Stegostoma tigrinum: one gene and its partner. The protein of the gene in region 1 binds, or shares a complex with, the protein of each later gene. Links are inferred from orthologs where the notes say so. Each region holds a gene or a part of one and is shown in the gene's direction. Other genes may lie near its edges.

Region 1 (7,539 bases):
CAGCAGACACATGGGTACAGTACCACCCAGGTGTTCCCCTCAGACTCAAAAATCAACCTCACTAGCCCCACCACCTCTGGCTTCTCTGTGTCTCCCTCGTCCGCTCCACACTCCCCACGAATTCCACCACCCCCTGCAACTTTTACCTGCAACCGCAGGAAGTGCTACACCTGCCCCTACACATCCCCCCTCACCCCCATCCCAGACCCCAAGAAAACCTTCCACATTAAAGAGATGTTCGCCTGCACCTCTGCTAATGGTATATTGTATCTGCTGCTCCTGATGTGGCCTCCTCTACATCAGGGAAACAAAGCAGAATCTTGGAGACCGCTTTGTGGAACACCTATGCTCGGTTCGCGACAAACAACTGCACCTCCTGGTCGCAAACCACTTCAACTCCCCTTCCCACTCCTTGGACGATATGTCCATCCTGGGCCTCCTTCAGTGCCACAGCGATGCCACCCGAAGGCTGTAGGAACAGCACCTCATATTTCGCTTGGAAACCCTACAGCCCAATGGTCTCAACGTGGACTTCACAAACTTCAAAATCTCCCCACCCCGACCTCATCCCAAGTCCAGCCCAGCTCGTACCCACCTCCTTGACATCTCCGTCTTCCCTCCCATCAGAATCAGAGGACACAGTTTAAAAATAAGGGGTAGGCCATTTAGAACAGAGTTGAGGAAAAACTTCTTCACCCAGAGAGTGGTGGATATATGGAATGCTCTGCCTCAGAAGGCAGTGGAGGCCAAGTCTCTGGATACTTTCAAGAAAGAGATGGATAGAGCTCTTAAAGATAGTGGAATCAAGGGTTATGGGGATAAGGCAGGAACAGGATACTGATTGTGGATGATCAGCCATGATCATAATGAATGGTGGTGCTGGCTCGAAGGACCGAATGGCCTACTCCTGCACCTAATGTCTATTGTCACCCACCCTTCCTTCCCAACTGACCAACCCCCGTCCCAACAACCTACCTACGCTCACCTTTACAGGCTTCACCCCGTCTCCTTGACCTGTCCGTCTTCTCTCCACCTATCTGCTCCTTTATCCACATTCCATCATTGCCTCCCCCTCTCCCTATTTATTTCAGAGACCCCTTCGCCTCCCCCAGCTGTGTTCATCCAGCTCTACACCTTGTTATCCCAGGTTCTCCAGCATCTGCAGTTCCTACTATCTCCAGGCCCGAAACGTCAGCTTACCTGCTCCTCTGATGCTGCTTCGCCTGCTGTATTCATCCAGTTCTACACCTTGTTATCTCTTACTTGGAAATGTATCACTTTCTACTCTTAGACAAGTAATCTGCATTGGAGTCAAGATGAATTCAGAAAGTGCTTAATACGCATTGCTTTAACAATTGAAACAGAAAGGTTGAAAATCTTGAACAATATGTTAAACTGTTATTAACCTTATGGTTAGGTCTCAAGCGTAGCATAATATCAAAATCTGAATACCGTCCTTCAGCAAAAATGTCAAGGTCCTGCATAGGAGGTAGACTGGAATGATTCCAGAGATGAGGGATTTTGATGAATTCAAGACCAAAGGAGCACTTCATGTGGGGAAGATTCATATGTGATTTTATAACCAAGTTCAAATTGATAAAGGATGTTTACAGAACGTAAGGAGAAATTGTAAGATTGGCTCAGTGGTTAACACTGCTGCCTCACAGCCCCAAGAACCCCAGGTTCAATTCCAGCCTTAAGCAACTACCTGTGTGGAGTTTGCATGCTCCCCCTGCGTTTGTGTGGGTTTCTGCTGGGTGCTCTAGTTTCCTCCCACAATCCAAAGATGTGCAAGTTGGGTGGATTGGCCATAATAAATTGCACATAGTGTCCAGGGATGTGTAGGTTAAGTGTGTTAGCCGTGAGAAATGCAGGGTTATGGGGATGGGTCTGGCTGGGATGCTCTTTGGAGGATTAGTGTGCACTTGTTGGGCTGCATGACCTGTTTACACACTGTGGGGATTCTATTTAAAAAATACTCTTCTCAGATACTTTCTAATCAACGTGTTCAAAAATATCATTTTACACTCTGGAGCAGGTGACACTTGAACCTTCCTGCCTCAGAGGCAGGAACAATATCATTACACCATAACAGCCAAAAAGAAACTCTTTCCATTGACAGGGCAGTGAATCAACAGAGGCAAGAGATTGCTCATAGCAGAGTGGGGAGAATTTTCATGTTGCATTCGTTGTGATCTGGAATTCTGCATCTGTAAGGATGGAACTCTCCAAACAGAATTGGTTAAATACATGGATATTTATCTATTTCCACACAATCACTATTTACAACAAATGTAAATATAGGAGGCACAGTTAATAAGTTTGCAGATGACACCAAAACTAGTGGTGTAGTGGGCAGTGAAGATGGTTATCTCAGAGTACAATGGGACCTTGATCAGATGGGCCAATGGGCCAAGGAGTGGCAGATGGAGTTTCATTTAGATAAGTGTAAAGTGTGGCATTTTGGTAAGGTAAGCCAGGGCAAGACTTGTACAGTTAAGGGTAGGGCCCTAGGCTGTGTTGCTAAGCAAAGAGACCCAAGGATGCAGGTGCATAGTTCCTTGCAAGCGGACTCGCAGGTAGACAGGCTGCTGAAGAAGGCATTTGGCACACTTGCCTTCATTGGTCAGAACATTGAATATAGGAGATGGGACATCATGTTACAGCTATAGAGGACAATGGTAAGGCAACTTTTAGAATACTGCATACAATTCTGGCCGCCCTTCCACGTCGTTGTTAAAGCTGAGAGTGCAGAGAAGATTTGTAAGGATGTTTCTGGGACTGGGGGGGTTTAAGTTACGGGGAGGGGCTGAATAAGCTGTGGCTTTTTTGCTGCAGTGTTGGTGGCTGAGGGGGTAACGTTATAGAGGTTTACAAAATCATGAGGGGCATAGCAAAAGTGAGGTCTTTTTCCTAGGGTGGGGAAAGCTAGAGGGCACAGGTTTAAGTCGAGAGGGGAAACATTTGAAAAGGACCTAAGGTGCAACTTCTTCATGCAGATGGGGGATGGTAAATGAAACAAGTGGCAGGCAAAGTGATGCAGGCAAATACAATTACTACATTTAAAAGGCATCTGGATAGGTACAGGAATAAGAAGGGTTTAGAAGGATTTGGACCAAATGCTAGCAATGGACCTGGGTTAGATTGGGATGCCTGGTTGGTGCAGACAGGTTGGATTGAAGGATCTGTTTCCGTGCTGTACATCTTTATGACCTTGGGCGGCACGGTGGCTCAGTGGTTAGCACTGCAACCTCACAGTGCCAGGGACCCAGGTTTGATTCTAGCCTCAGGTAACTGTCTGTGCAGAGTTTGCACATTCTCCCCATGTCTGCGTGGGTTTCCTCCGGGCGCTCCGGTTTCCTCCCACAGTCCAAAGATGTGCAGGCTAGGTGGATCGGCCATGCTAAATTGCCCGTAGTGTTCGGGGGTGTGTGGATTATAGGGGGATGGGACTGGTTGGGATGCTTCAAGGGGCAGTGTGGACTTGCTGGTCCAAAGGGCCTGTTTCCACACTGTGGGGAATCTAACCTAATTGTGAGATTCAAACCCACCGGTGCCTGTGGATTCTTGTTTTGCTTGAAGTGGGGTGTGGTACAGGTTGGGAGCATTTGCATGAAGAGTGATTGAAGTACACAAATGTTTCAATGGAGATTGGCAAGATATAGAATTGCTAACTCTGCCTGGACACATTCCTGAAGCTTTTATCACGGCATTTCCCATCACCTAGTCAAAGATGTTTTTGTTCCCTCAGTGCCAATATCTTTCGAGATGATTAATGCTGTACAAAGTAGGTAAAGAAATCACAACCTTTTCATTACATGGCCCTACGGTCATTCTCCTTGTGTTTCACCCTCTCCAATCAGAAATCATACGACACCAGGTTATAACCCAACATGTTTATTCAAAAACACAAGCTTTTAGAGCATAGACCGTGTCAGGTGAAGCACTCCAAAAGCTTGCGTTTTCAAATGAACTGTGTTGGGCTATAACCTGGTGACTGTGATTTCTGGCCTTGGTCACCCCAGTCTGACACTGGCACTGCCACATCATGATTCTCCAGTGGCCAGGAGGTTAATTGATAATTGCTATTCAGCTCTCAGGACAATGCTCAAATAAAAGCTAAATATGCAGGAAATAATGAAATAAACACAGCAAGTGTTTGGAGATCATGCTGGAGGCTTGGGAACACCTATCAGAAAAACAAACCTGAATAGCAGACCTTCCACTCAGATAGTTCCAGGGAAATCACGTCCCAGGAGGGTTCATCAATGCAAGGAGTTTGTTGCTTTAAGGTGGAAAGTGACCGGGAAAGAGAGGCCTAGGGCCTTTAATTTCCGCCCAAATGGGGGAGCAGCGGCGCAAGGGGCCGGGTGATCGCCCGGAAATGCCTTTTCCTGCTGATTGGCTAATATTTGGCGCCAGAACGGGGATAGGGCGGAGCCAGTTCTAGGAACAGCCAATGAGAGAAAGAGGGCGGGACCTGATGTGGTTCTGGCGCGAAAGCCCAGGGTGCGCGGCGGGGAAGAAGGGAGAGAAATAAAAAATTGAAGAGAGAAAGTAGACGGAAAATAAATAGAGGGAAAGATAAAATAACGAGATAGAGTGAGAGAAAGTGAAGAGGAGGAAGAAGAAGAATTCTCGAGAGGCCCCAGACTCGGGCCCGGCCCCGCCATGTCCGGGTTTGATGATCCCGGCGTGTTTTTCAGCGACAGCTTCGGGTCTGAAACCCCGGGAGACTCGGGCCAGATCCGCCGGACACAGCTCCAGAAGCGGCTGCGGGATTTCCTCCGGCAGTACCGGGAGGGCAGCGACCGCACCGGCTTCACTTTCAAATACAGGTCCGCGCGGAAAGGCGGGGGGGCGGGAGAGAGGGTCAAGGGGAGTGTGGAGGGCAAGGAGGAGGAGGAGGGGGAGAGGTCTCGGGGTGGGGGTGGTCTGAGGAGGGGGGGGCACGGGGTGGGGGGGTGGGGGTGGTCTGAGGAGGGGGGGGCACGGGGTGGGGGGGTGGGGGTGGTCTGAGGAGGGGGGGGCACGGGGTGGGGGTGGTCTGAGGAGGGGGGGGCACGGGGTGGGGGGGTGGGGGTGGTCTGAGGAGGGGGGGGCACGGGGTGGGGGTGGTCTGAGGAGGGGGGGGCACGGGGTGGGGGTGGTCTGAGGAGGGGGGGGCACGGGGTGGGGGTGGTCTGAGGAGGGGGGGGCACGGGGTGGGGGTGGTCTGAGGAGGGGGGGCACGGGGTGGGGGTGGTCTGAGGAGGGGGGGGCACGGGGTGGGGGGGTGGTCTGAGGAGGGGGGGGCACGGGGTGGGGGTGGTCTGAGGAGGGGGGGGCACGGGGTGGGGGGGTGGGGGTGGTCTGAGGAGGGGGGGGCACGGGGTGGGGGGGTGGGGGTGGTCTGAGGAGGGGGGGGCACGGGGTGGGGGTGGTCTGAGGAGGGGGGGGCACGGGGTGGGGGTGGTCTGAGGAGGGGGGGCACGGGGTGGGGGTGGTCTGAGGAGGGGGGGCACGGGGTGGGGGTGGTCTGAGGAGGGGGGGGCACGGGGTGGGGGTGGTCTGAGGAGGGGGGGGCACGGGGTGGGGGGGTGGGGGTGGTCTGAGGAGGGGGGGGCACGGGGGGTGGGGGTGGTCTGAGGAGGGGGGGGCACGGGGTGGGGGTGGTCTGAGGAGGGGGGGCACGGGGTGGGGGTGGTCTGAGGAGGGGGGGCACGGGGTGGGGGTGGTCTGAGGAGGGGGGGGCACGGGGTGGGGGGGTGGGGGTGGTCTGAGGAGGGGGGGGCACGGGGTGGGGGGGTGGGGGTGGTCTGAGGAGGGGGGGGCACGGGGTGGGGGGGTGGGGGTGGTCTGAGGAGGGGGGGGCACGGGGTGGGGGTGGTCTGAGGAGGGGGGGGCACGGGGTGGGGGGGTGGGGGTGGTCTGAGGAGGGGGGGGCACGGGGTGGGGGGGTGGGGGTGGTCTGAGGAGGGGGGGGCACGGGGTGGGGGGGTGGTCTGAGGAGGGGGGGGCACGGGGTGGGGGTGGTCTGAGGAGGGGGGGGCACGGGGTGGGGGGGTGGGGGTGGTCTGAGGAGGGGGGGGCACGGGGTGGGGGGGTGGGGGTGGTCTGAGGAGGGGGGGGCACGGGGTGGGGGTGGTCTGAGGAGGGGGGGGCACGGGGTGGGGGTGGTCTGAGGAGGGGGGGCACGGGGTGGGGGTGGTCTGAGGAGGGGGGGCACGGGGTGGGGGTGGTCTGAGGAGGGGGGGGCACGGGGTGGGGGTGGTCTGAGGAGGGGGGGGCACGGGGTGGGGGGGTGGGGGTGGTCTGAGGAGGGGGGGGCACGGGGTGGGGGGGTGGGGGTGGTCTGAGGAGGGGGGGGCACGGGGTGGGGGTGGTCTGAGGAGGGGGGGGCACGGGGTGGGGGGGTGGGGGTGGTCTGAGGAGGGGGGGGCACGGGGTGGGGGGGTGGGGGTGGTCTGAGGAGGGGGGGGCACGGGGTGGGGGGGTGGTCTGAGGAGGGGGGGGCACGGGGTGGGGGTGGTCTGAGGAGGGGGGGGCACGGGGTGGGGGGGTGGGGGTGGTCTGAGGAGGGGGGGGCACGGGGTGGGGGGGTGGGGGTGGTCTGAGGAGGGGGGGGCACGGGGTGGGGGGGTGGTCTGAGGAGGGGGGGGGCACGGGGTGGGGGGGTGGTCTGAGGAGGGGGGGGGCACGGGGTGGGGGGGTGGTCTGAGGAGGGGGGGGGCACGGGGTGGGGGGGTGGTCTGAGGAGGGGGGGGCACGGGGTGGGGGGGTGGTCTGAGGAGGGGGGGGCACGGGGTGGGGGTGGTCTGAGGAGGGGGGGGCACGGGGTGGGGGGGTGGGGGTGGTCTGAGGAGGGGGGGGCACGGGGTGGGGGGGTGGGGGTGGTCTGAGGAGGGGGGGGCACGGGGTGGGGGTGGTCTGAGGATGGGGGGGGCACGGGGTGGGGGGGTGGGGGTGGTCTGAGGAGGGGGGGGCACGGGGTGGGGGGGTGGGGGTGGTCTGAGGAGGGGGGGGCACGGGGTGGGGGGGTGGGGGTGGTCTGAGGATGGGGGGGGCACGGGGTGGGGGGGTGGGGGTGGTCTGAGGATGGGGGGGGCACGGGGTGGGGGGGTGGGGGTGGTCTGAGGATGGGGGGGGCACGGGGTGGGGGGGTGGGGGTGGTCTGAGGAGGGGGGGGCACGGGGTGGGTGGGTGAGGGGGGGTTCTTAGGAGGGGGGGGCACGGGGTGGGTGGGTGAGGGGGGGTTCTTAGGAGGGGGGGCACGGGGTGGGTGAGGGGGGGTTCTTAGGAGGGGGGGCACGGGGTGGGTGAGGGGGGGTTCTTAGGAGGGGGGGCACGGGGTGGGTGAGGGGGGGTTCTTAGGAGGGGGGGCACGGGGTGGGTGAGGGGGGGTTCTTAGGAGGGGGGGCACGGGGTGGGTGAGGGGGGGTTCTTAGGAGGGGGGGCACGGGGTGGGTGGGTGAGGGGGGGTTCTTAGGAGGGGGGGGCACGGGGGGGGGTGGGTGGGTGAGGGGGGGTTCTTAGGAGGGGGGGGCACGGGGGGGGGTG
Region 2 (7,924 bases), on another chromosome or scaffold:
TCTCCGAGGGTTGCGGTTTTTCGAAAGGCACCCGGTTTAGTACATTGTTAGCAGCGACTCCCACAGCTTGGAATCAGCTGATCAGTCACAACCTCCAACCTCTCACCCGTTTGGAGGAAACACGCCTCCTATGTTTTAAAGAGTCAATGTATCAGATTCAGCATTCATTTTTCAGGGAAGCAGGCCGGAAAAAGTCACTAAATATTTGAGCTTGTGAGAGGAAGCTTTAAAAAGAATCTTCCAGCTGATTTCTGCGAACTGGCATTTCATAAAAATATTAAAAATATAATGCATGAACCGTCTGGGAGCAAGTTGCAAGTCAATTGGGAGTGAAGTACGAGTATTCAATTAAAATAATGCGTAGCACATGCTATTATTCTGAGAAAGATTTATTGACCAGTATGCGAGTTAAGTGCTGATGCAAAAAGCATGGTGCTAAAATTACAGATTAATAACTGAGCAAATTTGAATTTAAATGGAAGCTTTCACAACCTCCATACATTATGAAGTGCTTGCAGACAAGGTACTTTTGAAGAGTTCACTGTAGAAATGGAAGAAATATGTAGCTAATCTGTGCACAACGAGGTCCCACAAACATCAAATTATGTAAGTGACCAGATTTCTCTGCATTAGTCGAGGGATAATTATTGGCTAGATAACCAGGTGAAACAGCATAGAACTCCAGCTTAATATTGTACATTTACAAGATTTATTTACAACAATACATATTACAAACATACATCCCAAATGTAATCAACCATAGTTTCTGTTCCACCCCATTATCGTAGAAAGCCAAATCAAGCCCCAGTTTATGCCCATCACCTGGATACAATTTCTATAGCCAATTTTGATACAATTAACTCAAAAGTATCAAGAGAACACTTTGAAAGCCTTTGAGAAGGATAAAGCGGAGTGTATCAGTTCCCCCTCCAACCCTATTTCAATTGGATCCCCTCCCTCTCATCCTAAACTCCCTGTCTGTGTTATTGCTACTTGTGAGTGGTGCGTGTCAATTGTTTACTTTGTCAAATGGTTGATTTCACAGTGGCTATATTAAAAGAAAACCCACGCTTTTTTTGCAATAGTGCCAATGGATCATTTACATTCACCTGAGAAGGCAGGTATTCTATTGGGAAAGACCAATTTTCCATGGATTATTGAAAGTAAAGTTGCATTAACGCTCAGCATAAATCTGACCCTCATTTATGTATTGTGTACTTGTTTGCTACTGGGTAAAGCTCTAATCTGCTAATCGACAACTGAATGACAACCGACTGAGTAAAAGCTGTGCTTAAAAATACATTCAAAATCCTTTTATAGAGGTGTACCAAAACAAATTCATTTATAAACTGTACTTCTCGATTATATTATCAAATTCAAAATGATGATTGCCCAACCAATTAAAAATGAACTGAACAATAGGATTGAAAGTTTTTGCTTCTTTGCAGCTATGTCAGGCGAACCAAATTTAATAGTGTACAGTAACTCCTCAAATGACTTTAACATGGGGAAGTCTCTGGTCTACGGCTACCATATTGTCGGACTAGAAAACTCTCGCATTCTTACAGTCTGCCTTAAGCATATCAAAAGGATTTACGTATTAATAACGACTGTATCTTGTTTTCCCAGGTAAAGACATAGTTTTATGGACGTCAAGTCTTAAGGTGGGAATTGAACCCACAACTTGTAGCTCAGAGGTAAGGACACTACCAATATGTAACAAAATCTCTTCAAGTCAGTATCATCTAGGAAGTTAAGTGGAAAGAAATGTTTCTTAGAAATAATGTGTTTGAAGTGACTTTTTGCATACCAGAAGGTAATGTACATTCTCATCAGTATGAGAAAGTATAGAGCAATGCTTAAATAGAATGCCAAACCCCTGTTGAGAGATCTTAAAATTTAGAGATTTCCTGCTTATAAAAAAGTGAACAAAACATTCCATTCATCAGCTTATCCGATACTATCCTGTCAAGCAATCAGTACCTGAAAAGTAATGCCTCAGAACATGATTTCATCTCCTTTACCTGCTGCTTATTGATGTGGAGATCTCCATCAATAAGTTGAGCTTTAAATTGCAGGTTGAGTTAATCATCAAAAATACCTGTTTCTGCACGTGTGACATCATTCCCATTAAGCTCTCAGCTATGCCTATGTTACCTTAAGGCATGATTCTTATTTCAGTTTCTCACTACAGAAACTCTAATTCCTCCTAATAATTCCAAATACTACAGATGCTTTAAATAAAAGCAGAAAATAAAGAAACTCAGCAGGCCTGGAAACATCTGTGGAAATGAATGAAATTTAACATTTCAAGTCCAAAGACTCTTTTTCAGAACTCAGAAGTTCTGAGGAATGGTCACCAGACCCGAAATATTAACTGATTTCTTCTTCACAGATGCTGCCAGACCTGCTGAGCTTTTCCAGCAACATGGGGACCGCTTTGCAGAACACCTCCGCTCAGTTCGCAACAAACAACTGCACCTCCCAGTCGCAAACCATTTCCACTCCCCCTCCCATTCTCTTGATGACATGTCCATCATGGGCCTCCTGCACTGCCACAATGATGCCACCCGAAGGTTGCAGGAACAGCAACTCATATTCCGCCTGGGAACCCTGCAGCCATATGGTATCAATGTGGACTTCACCAGTTTCAAAATCTCCCCTTCCCCCACTGCATCCCTAAACCAGCCCAGTTCATCCCCTCCCCCCACTGCACCACACAACCAGCCCAGCTCTTCCCCCCCACCCACTGCATCCCAAAACCAGTCCAACCTGTCTCTGCCTCCCTAACCGGTTCTTCCTCTCACCCATCCCTTCCTCCCACCCCAAGCCGCACCCCCAGCTACCTACTAACCTCATCCCACCTCCTTGACCTGTCCGTCTTCCCTGGACTGACCTATCCCCTCCCTACCTCCCCACCTACACCCTCTCCACCTATCTTCTTTACTCTCCATCTTCGGTCCGCCTCCCCCTCTCTCCCTATTTATTCCAGTTCCCTCCCCCCATCCCCCTCTCTGATGAAGGGTCCAGGCCCGAAACGTCAGCTTTTGTGCTCCTGAGATGCTGCTTGGCCTGCTGTGTTCATCCAGCCTCACATTTTATTATCTTGGAATCTCCAGCATCTGCAGTTCCCATTATCTCTGATGTTTTTTTTCCTCCCTGATTTACAGCATCCTCAGTTCTTTTTCAAAACAGTTTCTCTCTCCACCAATACTGCTAGATCTGTTGAGTCTCTCCAGAATTTTCTGTTTATTTCTATTTTGCTCAAAATCCAACAAGACCTTGCAGCTATTTTTGCCATTACCACGAGTTTCCCATAGTGACACTGACTGCAAATCTTCAACAATGACAGGAGCTTTTGTTGAGACAGCATTAGTTAGAATTCTTAAGCTATGTGATCTCAATAAATAAAACAAGTTATTTCTTGATAGTAACTTGTGCCTGTGGGACCTAAAAAGGTTTAGCTAGAATAGGTCAGATAGCACCAATAAATCAATCAGCTCATTGTCTCCTACAAGGCATAGGAGAGAAGTTTGGTGGATAATAGTCAACTCAGAAAATCATGGGTATGGGTCTGAAGACCTCTTTCCAACCCTGAACATATTAATCATAAACCTATGTACACAAGTTTGTCAGCAGAGTGTAATAAGTGCTAACTTGGGAATTATTTGCAGAAGTGAAAACAGATGTTGCTTTTTCACTTTTTTCCCCCCAGAAGCTGGTGAATGTTCAAAGTTTGCTGATGTTATTCCTGTAAAAGCAGACGGTAGGTTAAACTGACATAGAGACTGATACATTGCATTAGATTAATAGCTTATCTAGCTACACTGATAGATATGTCCCTGGATTACTTACTGAAGACAAATTTGGCACAGAGTTACCAAGGTTAGAGCATTGAATTGGTTCAAAGTTTAGTGTAGAAGAAATACATTTAAATTTGAAGAGAGTTGGCATCAGTGCTGGACAAAAAGGGAGCAGTACTGTGCCTTCTCTTCAGCTACACTGGGCCAACATCTAGCTAAATTATACAACAAGGACTGTACAGTAGGTTTTCAGCTAAAAAGAACAGTTGGGAGAGGTGGGGAAAATAGGGCTTACATGAAGGGAAATTTTGAAAGTTATGGAGGAAGTAAAACAAGGCAATACGACAGAGATGGGAATAATTATCAAACACTGTGATAAGAGGGGACAGGGCATACAGGCATTGTTAGTATACTAACAGATGAGGAAAAGGCAAAAAAAAGGTAAAAAGGCAGAATAAATGGCTAACTGAATGCACACAGCATTCTTAAAATGGACGAATTAAAAACACATCCCAGACGAACTTGCCTTCATTTTGGGTGGCACGGTGGTTCAGTGGTTAACACTGCTGCCTCATAGCGCCAGGTACCCGAGTTCGATTCCACCCTCGGGTGACTGTCTGTGTGGAGTCTGCACATTCTCCCCGTGTCTGCGTGGGTTTCCTCCCGCAGTCCAAAGATGTGCAGGTTAGGTGAATTGGTCATGCTAAATTGCCCGTAATGTCCCGGGGTGTGTAAATTAGGTGGATTAGATATAGGAAATGAAGGGTTGGGGAGTGGATCTGGGTGGGATGCTTCTTCTTCCTTCGAAAGGGCGGTATGGACCTGGTTTCATGTTGTGGGGATTTTTCTATGAGTAGAAACAAATGGAACATGACGGTTGTGATAGAGAGAGGGTTGCCAGTAGCGAAAGGAAGGGGCAGTTAGAGCGCAAGCGCTCTCCTCGAGTTCGCCAGTTGGGTCTCGCGCTGAGGGAGCCGGTTGACTGAGAAGCTCGAGCCGTAGGGGAAAAAGCAAAATCAAACGGCGAATCTGTTGTACGGGAGGGGGGCATACACAAAGAAGGAATTTCACATTTTTAAAAATAAATCAGTTGACCACACATACCTTTTGTAGGAACATCGAGTAGATATTGTTCGCTGTTTATACTTTGCAGTCAAGCTATTTTTTTCGGGAGGAAGTGACGGAGGTGACTGCCCGCTCTCCACCTTCCTGATTGGTCCCGCCGCCACCTGGGTCTTTAGTCGGTTTTGGCGGGGGTTTGGATGGAAGATTTTTGCTCCGTGTTTTACAGCTCGTCCGTTCTTGTTTGTAGAGGTTTATATTATAATACCGTTTGCTCCTTCTGGGAATAATGTTTTGTGAAAAAGCTATCGAGTTAATCCGAGAACTCCAACGAGCTGCGGACGGTCAGTTGCCCGCTTTTAATGTGAGTAACGTAGTATTTTTCCAAATAAGTCTTTAAAATATTAAAAGTGAAACACTAATCTTACTCCGAAGAAATGTTATTGGGCTCGAGACTTTAACCTTGTTTTTGTGTCTAGGGATGCTGCCAGATCTGCCGAGTTTCTCGAGTGCTTTCAGTTGTTTATTTTAATACCCAACATTTTTACTATTGTTTAATCGAGCAATAATGAAGGACGAGACAAATAATGATGTTGAGGAATAAAAACGCGATTGAATTGGTAGTGAGGGAGAAGGTTATAGGTTCGACAGTGGTCAAGTGGACAGAAAAGTGGCGAGCAAAAACGAAGTTGCTGGAAAAGCTCAGCAGATCTGGCAGCATCTGTGAAAAAGAAAACAGAATTAACGCTTCGGGTCCGGAACTGAGGAAGGGTCACCGGACCCGAAACGTTAACTCTGTTTTCTCCTCTACAGATACTGCCAGACCTGCTGAGCTTTTCCAGCAACTCTCTTATTGTTCCTAATTTACACTATCCGCAGTTCTTTTGGTTCTTAGAAAAGTGGCGAGGTTTTTTGTTTGGCGTGGGGAAAATCAATGCAGAGAAATCTGCGGGAATGGAGTTGGGCAAGACCAAACGAGGCAACGGACTGCGCAGTGAATAGTGGGATATTATGAATTGTAGAGGACCAGAGGAGACTTGGCGTGCCTGCCTCGATCCCTGAAAGGAGAAGGACAGGTTTCATAAAGCATATAGTGGTATGTCATTCAGATATTCGATTTCAGATCCATATTGTTTTCATGTCCATGTATATCTACAGTATAGTGCCATGTAGAATCAAGAATCCCTACAGTGTTGAACCAGGCCATTCAGTCCATCAAGTCTACCCCAACCTTCCAAAAAGCATCCCACTCAGATCCACATCATTGCCCTAAGCCCATAACCCTGCATTTCCCATGGCAAATCGACCAAACCTGCACATCTTTGGACTGTGGGAGAAAGCCAGAGCACCCAGAGGAACCTCTCTCAAACACAAGGAGAATGTGCAAACTCCATACAGACAGTTGCCCAAGGCTGGAATCAAACCCAGATCCCTGGTGCTGTGAGGCAATGGTGCTAATTACCGTGCCACCCTGTGATGATAGTGAAGATTTCACAGAAAACTCAACTCTGGTAGGATTTGTACCCACGACCATTGAATAGCACATTTCACTATTGTTTTGGAAGTCCAGCAGGCTCTCCACTGCGCCACAGAGCTGCATGTCTCTCAATCTACATCGAATATATGAATGCCAAGCTTATACTAGGAGGAACCTGCTTTCTTTGCATAGCCATAACTAGGGAACACAGATGTCAAGTAATTGACAGAAGGATTCGAGGGGAGTTGAGTTTTTTCAATTCAGAGTGTAAATTTTTGGAAATAATTGCATACCTACTCGAGTTTCCATTATCTACAAGGGTACTTGTTAAGGGAAAAAATGGTTCTTCCATCTGGGCCATGGACATACTTGGGAAGCTTTCCCAGATACCTGTACCCTTTGTATCTTAGAGCATATCTGAAAGAAGAAAAGTGATTATACCATGAATGATAATGACTAAAGATGCAGCAGAGAAAGAGCTCTGGGGTCATAATATGTCTGAAACACTGCAGCGCAGCAATGAATTAGGTAATTCAAAGCCTGAATTACAAAAGTAAAACAATAAGAGGATGTTCTATTCACAGTTGCCATAGATATTTTCTGGTAAGATCATTCATATAAATGGCCCAAAGATCCTTGTGTTCCTGTTAATGTTGATTAAATATCTAATTGTACTGTATATCAATAGGAAGGATGTGAAATTCAGATCCCTAATGGAACAAAGATGTTAGCTAGTTCCCATCACATCATTTTCCAGTTTTCTTTTTATAGCTTTACTTAGAAATTCTTACAGTCGATTCTTCTAAGTTGTTTTATTCCAGTTTGCTCAATCTCCCTTCCCCTCAGAGTCAAAATAAAGAATAAATCATGTGCTAAGAGTAGAAATATGCTATTCAGCCCGTTGAGTCTGTTCTGTCATTTAATGAAATCGTGGCTGATCTGATAATCCTCCACTCCCCTTTCCTGCCTTTTCCTCATAACTCATGATTCATTTACGAATTAAATATCTATCTCTGCCTTAACGACTCAATGACCCTGCCTCCCCAGCCTTTTGTGATAAACAATTCTGAACATTCTCCACTTCTGAGAGAAGAAATTCCTCCTCATCTGCCCTAAATGGTCAACGTATTATTCTGAAATTATGCCCTTTGACCCTATACTCTCCTATAAGGGGCAACAAGCTCTCCACATCTACTCTGTCAAGTTAGTTAAGAATTTTATATGTTTCAATAAGGTTGTCTCTCATTCTTCTCTATTCTAATGAAAACCAGCCCAATCCTTCCATACCTCTGATGCCAGTATATCCTTCCTTAGATAAGGGGCCCAAAACTGTTCGTAGTATTCCAGCTGTGGTCTGACTATACTTTGTATAGTTGTAGGAAAACCTCTTTACGTTCATTCTCCATTTCATTTGAAATAAAAGCCAACATTTCATTTGCCTTCCCATTACCTACTGAACTTGGATGCTTGTTTTTTTGTGATCCATGGGCAATGACTCCTAAATCCTTATGTTTCTTTTTTTTTTGCAGTCTTTCTACATTTAAATAATATTCAGCTCCTCTATTCTCCCTGCCAAAGCGCA

The links. Proteins that work in one complex are often made in the same cells at the same time.
Region 2: mcm5 (region 1) and gins1 share a complex: the UniProt entries of both Homo sapiens proteins name them as parts of the CMG helicase complex. The link is inferred for Stegostoma tigrinum from reciprocal best matches to the Homo sapiens genes MCM5 and GINS1.

What each region holds. Positions count from the first base shown.
Region 1 is NC_081391.1:3,319,485-3,327,023, reverse strand, and holds the start of mcm5 (DNA replication licensing factor MCM5), read left to right. Parts: upstream 1-4,466; 5' UTR 4,467-4,671; coding exon 4,672-4,838; intron 4,839-7,539. UniProt on the Homo sapiens protein: Acts as a component of the MCM2-7 complex (MCM complex) which is the replicative helicase essential for 'once per cell cycle' DNA replication initiation and elongation in eukaryotic cells.
Region 2 is NC_081362.1:20,094,789-20,102,712, forward strand, and holds the start of gins1 (DNA replication complex GINS protein PSF1), read left to right. Parts: upstream 1-4,826; 5' UTR 4,827-5,154; coding exon 5,155-5,229; intron 5,230-7,924. UniProt on the Homo sapiens protein: Required for correct functioning of the GINS complex, a complex that plays an essential role in the initiation of DNA replication, and progression of DNA replication forks.